2 linked regions of the Macaca mulatta genome follow. The protein of the gene in region 2 purifies or fractionates together with the protein of the main gene of each other region. This does not show direct contact. Links are inferred from orthologs where the notes say so. Each region holds a gene or a part of one and is shown on either strand. Other genes may lie near its edges.

Region 1 (4,328 bases), on a different chromosome or scaffold from region 2:
CTGCTGGAGAGGAAGGAAGTGTCCGTCATCTCATTGTCCCAGTGGGTCCTTGTGGCTTCCTGACACTTCATGGAGCAGAAAGTGGAGCTGGAAATCCTGTCTGCTGTGTGCGACCTTTGTGGCCGCTTCCCCTCTCTATGCCTTGATTTCCCCACCTGAATGGGGCAATATCCGTGTGTGGCAAAAAGCGTGCTAAGGCTGGGTGGGGTGGCTCTCGCCTGTAATCCCAACACTTTGGGAGGTCAAGGTGGGAGGACTGTTTGAGGTCAGGAGTTTAAAACCAGCCAGGGCAACATGGCGAAACCCTGTCTCTACTGATAATACAAAAACAAGGTGGGCCTGGTGGTGCATGCCTGTAGTCCCAGCTACTCAGGAGCCCGAGGAGGGAGGATCGCTTGAACCCAGGAGGCAGAGGCTCCTGTGAGCTAAGATTTGTGCCACTGCACTTCAGTCTGGGCAACAGAGCGAGACCCTGTCTCAAAAAATAAAGTTAGACCTGGCACGGTGGCTCACGCCTGTAATCCCAGAACTTTGGAAGGCTGAAGTGGGTGGATCACCTGAGGTCAGGAGTTCGAGACCAGCCTGACCAGTATGGTGAAACTCCGTCTCTACTAAAAATACAAAAATTAGCCAGGTGTGGTGGCAAGCGCCTATAACCCCAGCTACTTGGGAGGCTGAGGCTGGAGAATTGCTTGAACTCAGGAGGCGGAGGTTGCAGTGAGCCGAGATCACGCCACTACACTTCAGCCTGGGCAATAGAGGGAGACTCCATCTAAAAAAAAATGAGAGAGAGAGGGAGGGAGGGGGAGAGAGAGGGAGGGAGAGAAAGAGAAAGCTCAATGTGATAGAGGTGAGAGAGAGAGAAAGAGAGAGAAAAGGGAAAAGAAGGAAAGAAAGCAAGCTAAATGTGATAAGGGCTGGCAATACCAGAGGGTCTTTGCCTCTCCAGACTCAGCCTTGTTTACAGTTCAGTCCTGCCTCAGGGCCTTGGCTCGTGCTGTACCCTGGTCCGAGTTGGCCCTCACTGGCCCTCCCCTGGCTCTGGTTCCTTGCCAGCCTTCTCTCAGTACGGATGTTTAAAACACAGATAGGCCCTGGGGGACAGAGCAGGGTCAGGATCCCAGAAACAGTCCCACTTCAGCCCAGGCCCTTATGCTGCCCCACCCCTAGCTGAGTCCTGCCTCAGGGCCTTTGCTCCGGATATACCCTGGTCCAGGATTGCCCTCATTGGCCCTCCTCGAGCTCTGGCTCTGTCTAAAAAATAAATGTGGGCCGGGCGCGGTGGCTCAAGCCTGTAATCCCAGCACTTTGGGAGGCCGAGACGGGCGGATCACGAGGTCAGGAGATCGAGACCGTCTGGCTAACACGGTGAAACCCCGTCTCTATTAAGAAATACAAAAAACTAGCCGGGCGAGGTGGCGGGCGCCTGTAGTCCCAGCTACTTGGGAGGCTGAGGCCGGAGAATGGCGTGAACCCGAGAGGCGGAGCTTACAGTGAGCTGAGATCCGGCCACTGCACTCCACCCTGGGCGACAGAGCGAGACTCCGTCTCAAAAAAATAAAATAAAATAAAAAAATAATAAATGTGGCTGGGCGGGTGCAGTGGATCAATCTTGTAATCCCAGCACTGTGGGAGGACGAGGCAAGCGGATCACCTGAGGTCAGGAGTTTGAGACCAGCCTGACCCACATGGTAAAACCCCGTCTCTACTAAGAATTCAAAAAATGAGTGGGGCGTGGTGGCGTGTGCCTGTAATCCCAGCTACTTGGGAGGCTGAGGCAGGAGAATTGCTTGAACCCAGGAGGCGGAGGTTTCAGTGAGCTGAGGTTGTGCCATTGCCTGGGCAACAAGAGCAAAACTCCGCCTCAAAAAAAAAAACAAAAAAAAAGAAGGGCTGGGCACAGTGGCTTACGCCTGTAATCCCAGCACTTTGGGACTTTGGGAGGCCAAGGTGGGCGGATCACCGGGTCAGGAGATCGAGACCATCCTGGCTAACACGGTGAAACCCCGTCTCTACTAAAAATACAAAAAATTAGCTGGATGTGGTGGCGGGGACCTGTAGTCTCAGCTACTCGGGAGGCTGAGGCAGGAGAATGGCATGAACCTGGGAGGAAGAGCGGAGCTTGCAGTGAGCTGAGATTGCACCACTGCACTCCAGCTTCCACTGCACAGAGCAAGACTCCGTCTCAAAAAAAAAAAAAGGAGTGTAACGGTGGCATCACCCACAGGGGTGACAGCTGCAAACCAGGCCCTGCTCATGATGGGGCCCTCTGGTTACTGCCTCTCTTAGGCCAGCCAGGGTGGTTGAGTTTCTCTTTCTTGCCTGGTTCTCTGCCGTGCGCCTCTTAATCTCCGTATGTTCCCTGGGTGGGTTCCCAGAGGGGTTCGTGTTCCCTGAGGGTCACACGGGGAGGCAGGATTTGACTCCAGGATGGCCTGATTCCCCCACAGGCCAGCGGAGCCTGCACCACCGTGGAGACAGCCTGGAGACCCTGGTCCTCCTGAACCCATCAGACAAGTCCCTGTGTGATGAGGTAGGGAATGGCTGACATCCTGGAGGGGGCGGGCTGCTGGGACCCATGCCGTCTCTGTCTTCCTGTCTCGTGTCCTTGTCTTCATGCTGCCCCAGATCCTCTCGAGACACCCGGCACCACACTTCCTCGCCCACGAAGCCTTCCCCGTGGCTCCAGCCTCTGCTTCTTCCCTCCTCTGGGGTGGGAGCAGAAAAGCCTGGGTTTGGGAGGGAGGGAGTAAGCACTCCCAGCCTAGGGCCCAGGACAGCGTGGGTCTGGAGCCCGGAAGGCCAGAGCAGACTGAGGTTTGCGTCCCGTGGGTTCCCTCCGGCTAGGCCCCAGGAGTTGTCTGAATTGACTCACTAATACTAAACGGCTTGTGGCCATCTGTATTCCACCAATTATACATCAGGAAGATGACCCAGACAGAGCCCTGGGGCATCCCACTGCACACTTTCTTACAGGTTGATTCCTTGGATCAGAACTTTTCCCTTTTATTCCCTTGAGGAACTCTCAGTCTTTAGGAGACAGAGCGAGACACAGACGCCCCCAGCCCTGTGGCATCAGGGCTGGGCTGGAGGGAGAGGTGGACTAGAGAGAGCCCAGAAAGGGCAGTGAGTGCCTTTAGAAGGAAGGGACATCAGAGTTGGGCTTTGTAAGATGAATAGGAGTTTGCTAGAGTTGCTCCAGGGCCCAGCAAGAGACCTGGAGACTGCCCTCATAGCTAGTTGAGCACTGGGCTGGCTGTGGGGTGAGGGCAGGAGAGGGGTGGTTATGTATCAACTTGAGGCCACCCCAAAGAGGACTGCTGGATACGTCACTGCACAGAACGGGGCCTTTAGTGCTCACCCCTCCCTCAGCTCCGGAACCTTCTGTTGGACCCTGCCTCTCACAAGCTACTGGTGTTGGCTGGGCCCTGCCTGGAGGAGACAGGGGAGCTGCTGCTACAGACAGGGGGCTTTTCGCCTCACCACTTCCTCCAGGTCCTGAAGGACAGAGAGGTAAGCCACCCCTTTGCCATCCCCCACTTTCCCAGCTCAATCCTGGCTTGTCTGCATCGGGCTGTGTGGCCCCAGCGACCTGCTGTTTTCCATGACCTGGTCTCCCCCTCCTCTGTAGGGTGGCAGTGGTGACACGTGCCTCCTGGCTGTCCAGGGTTAGTCCCATTGCCCGGAAAGGGTGTGGTGTGAGCTGGGTCTGTAGAGCAGCTGATGTCCCAAAGTCCTGATGTGGGATGGAGCCAAATGGGTCTTTCTGGTGCCCACAGTCTGGGCAGGACACGTGGGCAAAAGTCTCTGGCAAACCACATTTTCACACTGGAGTGGGGCACTTAAAAGTGATGAGAAAAGGTTCAGTAGACAGAGGTGGGCCGTGGAGGGTCTCCTTGGAGGAAGCTGTGCCCTGGGAGGAGAGAACGGTGAGTGTAAAGGCCCTGGGGCAGGGAGGCATTTGACGGGGAAGGAGAGGCAGGAGGTGAGGCCAGACCAGAGAGCCTCCTGGCGCTGGAGAGGGTTGGGTTTTGGCGGGAGGGTGCTGAGGAGCAGGCCTCGGGGTGGGGGAAGGCTGAGGGTATCCTCGCCCAGGTTTCCCACTGGGCTGGGTGTTGCCACGGTGGTCCCTTACCATTCCCCCTCTAGGTGGTTCCTTCCCACTAGCTTTAGGTGGTCCCTTACCACTCCCCCTCCATACAGATCCGGGACATCCTGGCCACCACGCCCTCACCTGCGCAGCCGCCCATACTCACCATCACCTGCCCCACCTTTGGTGACTGGGCCCAGCTGGCACCTGCTGTGTCCGGCCTACAGGGGGCGCTCCG
Region 2 (4,328 bases):
GTAAAGCCACTAGAGTGTGTTAAGACAGTGGGGAAATGGCACGGGATAATTAAGTAGATATTGAAGGCATGTTCTTAACAAGATACAAAATGTCTAAGGTTAGTTAGATTTATTAGAAAGCAAGGAGGCTGAGGGCTGGGAAGGAAAAATGGAGGTAAACGATCCCGGCAGGAATGGATGATTCCATAATGCAGTCTTGGGAGAGAAAAATAAAGTACACTCCCATGTATTAGGTAGGGAGCTGGGAGCTTACAGGTGAGGGAAGTCAGAGCGAGTTGGGCTGCAGCACCCTAGTCTGTTCTGAAGTGCTCTGATATTAAGTGATCCTGGGTGGAGTTGAGGTTAAAAAACTTTATGTACTGGGGGAACACTGGAAGACCACCCAGGGCATACACGGTTTTCCCACTTGAGTATACAGAGCCAAATACATTTCTAAAAGTTACCTAAAGCTTTCTTATCTGAAACATCCCATTTACTCTGAGTTGTTTTGAGCATTAGAACTAGGAGATGAGTCAACAACGTGGCAAGAATCAGCCTGCTCTGTCAGCACACCAACTTCTACCCACCTAATGGTATTATCTGATGATCCACTAACAACCAGCCGATCCCTGTACTGGAGACAGGCAATGCCTCGCTTGTGCCCATTGAGAGTACGGACAAATTCACAGGTGCTCGTGCTCCAGACCTGTATAACAAATTAACAATATTTTAAAGAATGAATGTGGAAAAGTCCTCCCACAATATACCTTTCTTAAAAAGACAGCTTCTGAGAATGACCCAAATATGTGATTATAAAATACAGTGTCCTCTAACTCAAAGTTGGGAGGCTAGAGGGCAGACTAGACAGCATAACATTTTCTTTGGCTGCTGAGTAATAACACTGGAATGAAACACGGAGGGAAGTGAAGTCTCCAGTCGTTGAGATCTTTACAAAGAGAACATCTCCTAGATGGTTTGGATATTCATTTACCTGGAGGAAAGAGTTTGGGCCAGATTTTATGTTTTTACACCAGCTGACATGTCAAACCCAATGAAGCTAATGTAATAAAAAAGCTTCCAGCTGGGTACAGTGGCTCACACCTAATCCTAGCATTTCGGGAGGCTGAGGCGGGAGAATTGCTTGAGCTCAGGAGTTTGAGACCAGCCTGGGCAACGTAGTAAAACCTCATCACTACAAAAAATAAAACTAGCTGGGCGTGGTAGTGTACATCTGTGGTCCCAGCTATTTAGGGGGCTGAGGTGCAAAGATCACTTGAGCCCAGCAGGTTGAGGCTGCAGTGAGCCGTGTTTGTGCCACTGTACTCCAGCTTGGGTGACAAAGCGAGACTTTGTCTCAAAAAACAAACAAAAAGTTTCATCTTTCATATAATCCTCTTTTCCAGCATATTTTCTTGAACAGCTCCATTTGTTTTGACACATTACTTCTAATTGTATGTATGTAGAATAAATAATCCCCTCTTTTGTGATATCATCTGAAAGACTTAGATGTTCATAGACATCTCAATGTATTATTAGACAAATAAGGAGACACACAGCAACCAGAGTGCCCTGAATTATCTTAACAGCTGCATTTGCAGCTGAATGGGATAGATAAATATATCTCCACATGTAAAAGAATGGCATTGGACATCTACCTCATACCTTAAACAAAAATCTAACTCAAAATGGATCAAGGACCTAGGCACGTCTTGATAAATTGAACATCATCAAAATTAAAATCATTTGTGCATCAAAGGATACCATCAAAAAAGTGAAAAGGCAACCTACAGAAAGGGAGAAAATATTTTCAAATCATGTATCTCATAAGGGGCTTGTGTCCAGAATATATAAAGAACTTATAACTCAACAATAAAAAGACAAATTATCAATTTTTAAAGTGGGCAAAGGATTTATAGACATTTCTCCAGAGAAAGTACACAAATGGTCAATAAGCATACAACAAGTTGTTCAGCATCATCAGTAATAAGGGAATGCAAAGCAAAACCAGAGATACCATTGCACACTCACTAGGGCAGATAAAAGAAAAGAGACAAATAACAGCAAGTGTTGGCGAGGATATGGAGAAATCCTCCATGCTGGTATTATGAAACAGCTGTTTTGTAATAAAGCTCAGACCCTCTCAACTTTCAGGCACTGGTCTCATACCAATTGGTGTGACTGTGGGAGTAAGTTGCCACATATAAATCCTAGTTGTTTAGCTTCCCAACTATCCAGTCTAAAGCCTGATGCTACACACTTTGTGATTTGTGGGGCTAGGTGTAAGAATGCTTTCCAGTGCTGGTCATGAAAAGGATGTTCTTTGCGCAAGCTGAAACCCCCACATACCACTGGCAGGACTGTAAAACGGTGCAGTGCCTTTGGAAAACACTTTGGCAGTTCCACAAGCCTGGGCAACAAAGTGAGACCTGGTCTCTACAAAAAAAAAATGGGCAGGGGGGCGGGCCTGGTAGTGCCTGTACTCCCAGCTACGCCAGGAGGCTTAGGTGGGAGCCTCAGGGGTCCCTGAGCTGAGGGACGGCTTGAGCCCAGGAGGTCAAGGCTGAAGTGAACCATGACTGTGTCACTGCACTCCAGCCTGGGTGACAGAGTTAGATCTGTCTTCAAAAAAAAAAAAAAAGTTAAACAGAGGGTTACCATCCTAAGAAAATTAAAAACATGAAAACTTCTACACTAATATTTATAGCAGCATCATCTGTAATAGCCGAAAAAATAGAAACAACTAAAATGTCTATCAACTAATAAACAGAAGAACAATGAAATGTTATTCAGCCACTGGAAACAACAAAGTACTGGCTGGGTGTGGTGGCTCATGCTTCTAATCCCAACACTTTGGAAGGCCGAGGAATGCTTGAGCCCAGGAGTTCAAGACTAGTCTGGGCAATATAGCAAGACCCCATCTGTACTTAAAACAACAACAACAACAACAACAACAAAAATGGGACAAAGCTGATAGATGCTACAAAGCACATGGATGAACCTTGAAAACATTACACTAAGCACAGAGGAGAATAAAGATCTTACCAGGTACCAGGTTGGTATAAGCCACCTCTGCTTTCTCTCTGTTCTAAAAGGGACAGGAGGAGGCTGGGTTATGACTGCAGACATACTTACTTTGATGGTCCTGTCACCAGAGGCGGACACAATGTACTTGTCGTCAAAGTCTACTACATTGACAGCAGCCCGGTGGCCAACCAGGACACGGCGTAAAGTGATATCGGTCGCAGAAGCCATGTCCCACACAGCAATGGAGCGGTCCTTGGAACACGTCACCATCAGTCCATTGCTGAAGCGTAAGTGCAGTACGGCCTCATTGTGGTGGATCAATGTGTTAAGAACTTCACCCGTGTTCACATCCCACACCCTAGGAGAGAAGAGAAAAAGCATGATGCTTAATTACGGAGACAGCCAGGAAATGATTCTGGCATCTGAGTTCTGTCTGGGTCTGCAATGGCTTGGATATGGTTTGTCTGACTCTACCAAATCTCATGTTGAAACTGATCCTCAGGGTTGGAAGTGGGGACTGACAGGAGGTGTCTGGGTCATGGCGGTGGATCCCTCACGAATGACTTGGTGCCATTCTCATAGGAGGGAGTTCACTCTTAGTTCTGAGAGAACTGGCTGTTGACAAGAGCCTAGCAGCTCCGCCCTCTCTCTTGCTTCTCTCTCACATGTAATCTGCATACACTGGCTCGCCTTTGCCTTCTGCCATGAGGAGAAGTAGCTCGAAGCCTTCATCAGAAGCAGATGCTGGTACCATGCTTCTTGCAGAGCCTGCAGAACCATGAGTCAAATAAACCCCTTTTCTTTTATAAATTACCCAGCCTCGGGTATTCATTTATAGCAACACAAATAGACTAAGACAGGGTCCATTCTTAATGAACCTAAGGGCATGATTAAAAGGTGCCCCTAAAAAGCAATTTCTTTATTTGTTGAGAAGTGCTGAGATGGTTTCAGAAAAGGTGGCTAATTCTGGCTCTGCTCGAGTTTAGGTGTATTTAGCAGTCAGGTATTCAGGGACGGTGTCTGCAGGCTCATGCTGATGGCAAAAGACAATTCCTCAAGAAAGCAGATTTTGTATTGAGTCTGAGATAAAAGGAAGAAGGAGCCTTGTTGGCTGAAGAACTGAGAATGGTTCCAAGCTTACAGTTCTTGTTGACCTCTGGCAGACCTCTGAGTCTATTATTTATCCACTGCAAACTGGGTAAGTCATGATGCCTCATCAATCACCACATCCACTTCTTTACTCAGCTGCTTTATGGACAAAGCCAGGGTCTCCCAACTGCTTTGTATGTCCAGGGATTTGGGGGCAGCACTTCCACATCATGGCT

Evidence for each region. Proteins that work in one complex are often made in the same cells at the same time.
Region 1: the proteins of FBXW11 (region 2) and MAP1S purify together in Homo sapiens (affinity purification with mass spectrometry; 4 studies listed by BioGRID and IntAct, with this or other methods). This does not show direct contact. The link is inferred for Macaca mulatta from reciprocal best matches to the Homo sapiens genes FBXW11 and MAP1S.

What each region holds. Positions count from the first base shown.
Region 1 is NC_133424.1:18,221,171-18,225,498, forward strand, and holds part of MAP1S (microtubule-associated protein 1S), read left to right. Parts: intron 1-2,450; coding exon 2,451-2,533; intron 2,534-3,372; coding exon 3,373-3,513; coding exon of another isoform or gene 3,514-3,627; exon of another isoform or gene 3,628-3,739; coding exon of another isoform or gene 3,740-4,081; intron 4,082-4,173; coding exon of another isoform or gene 4,174-4,203; coding exon 4,204-4,328. UniProt on the Homo sapiens protein: Microtubule-associated protein that mediates aggregation of mitochondria resulting in cell death and genomic destruction (MAGD). Plays a role in anchoring the microtubule organizing center to the centrosomes. Binds to DNA. Plays a role in apoptosis.
Region 2 is NC_133411.1:180,721,407-180,725,734, forward strand, and holds part of FBXW11 (F-box/WD repeat-containing protein 11), read right to left. Parts: intron 3,362-4,328; coding exon 3,112-3,361; intron 686-3,111; coding exon 567-685; intron 1-566.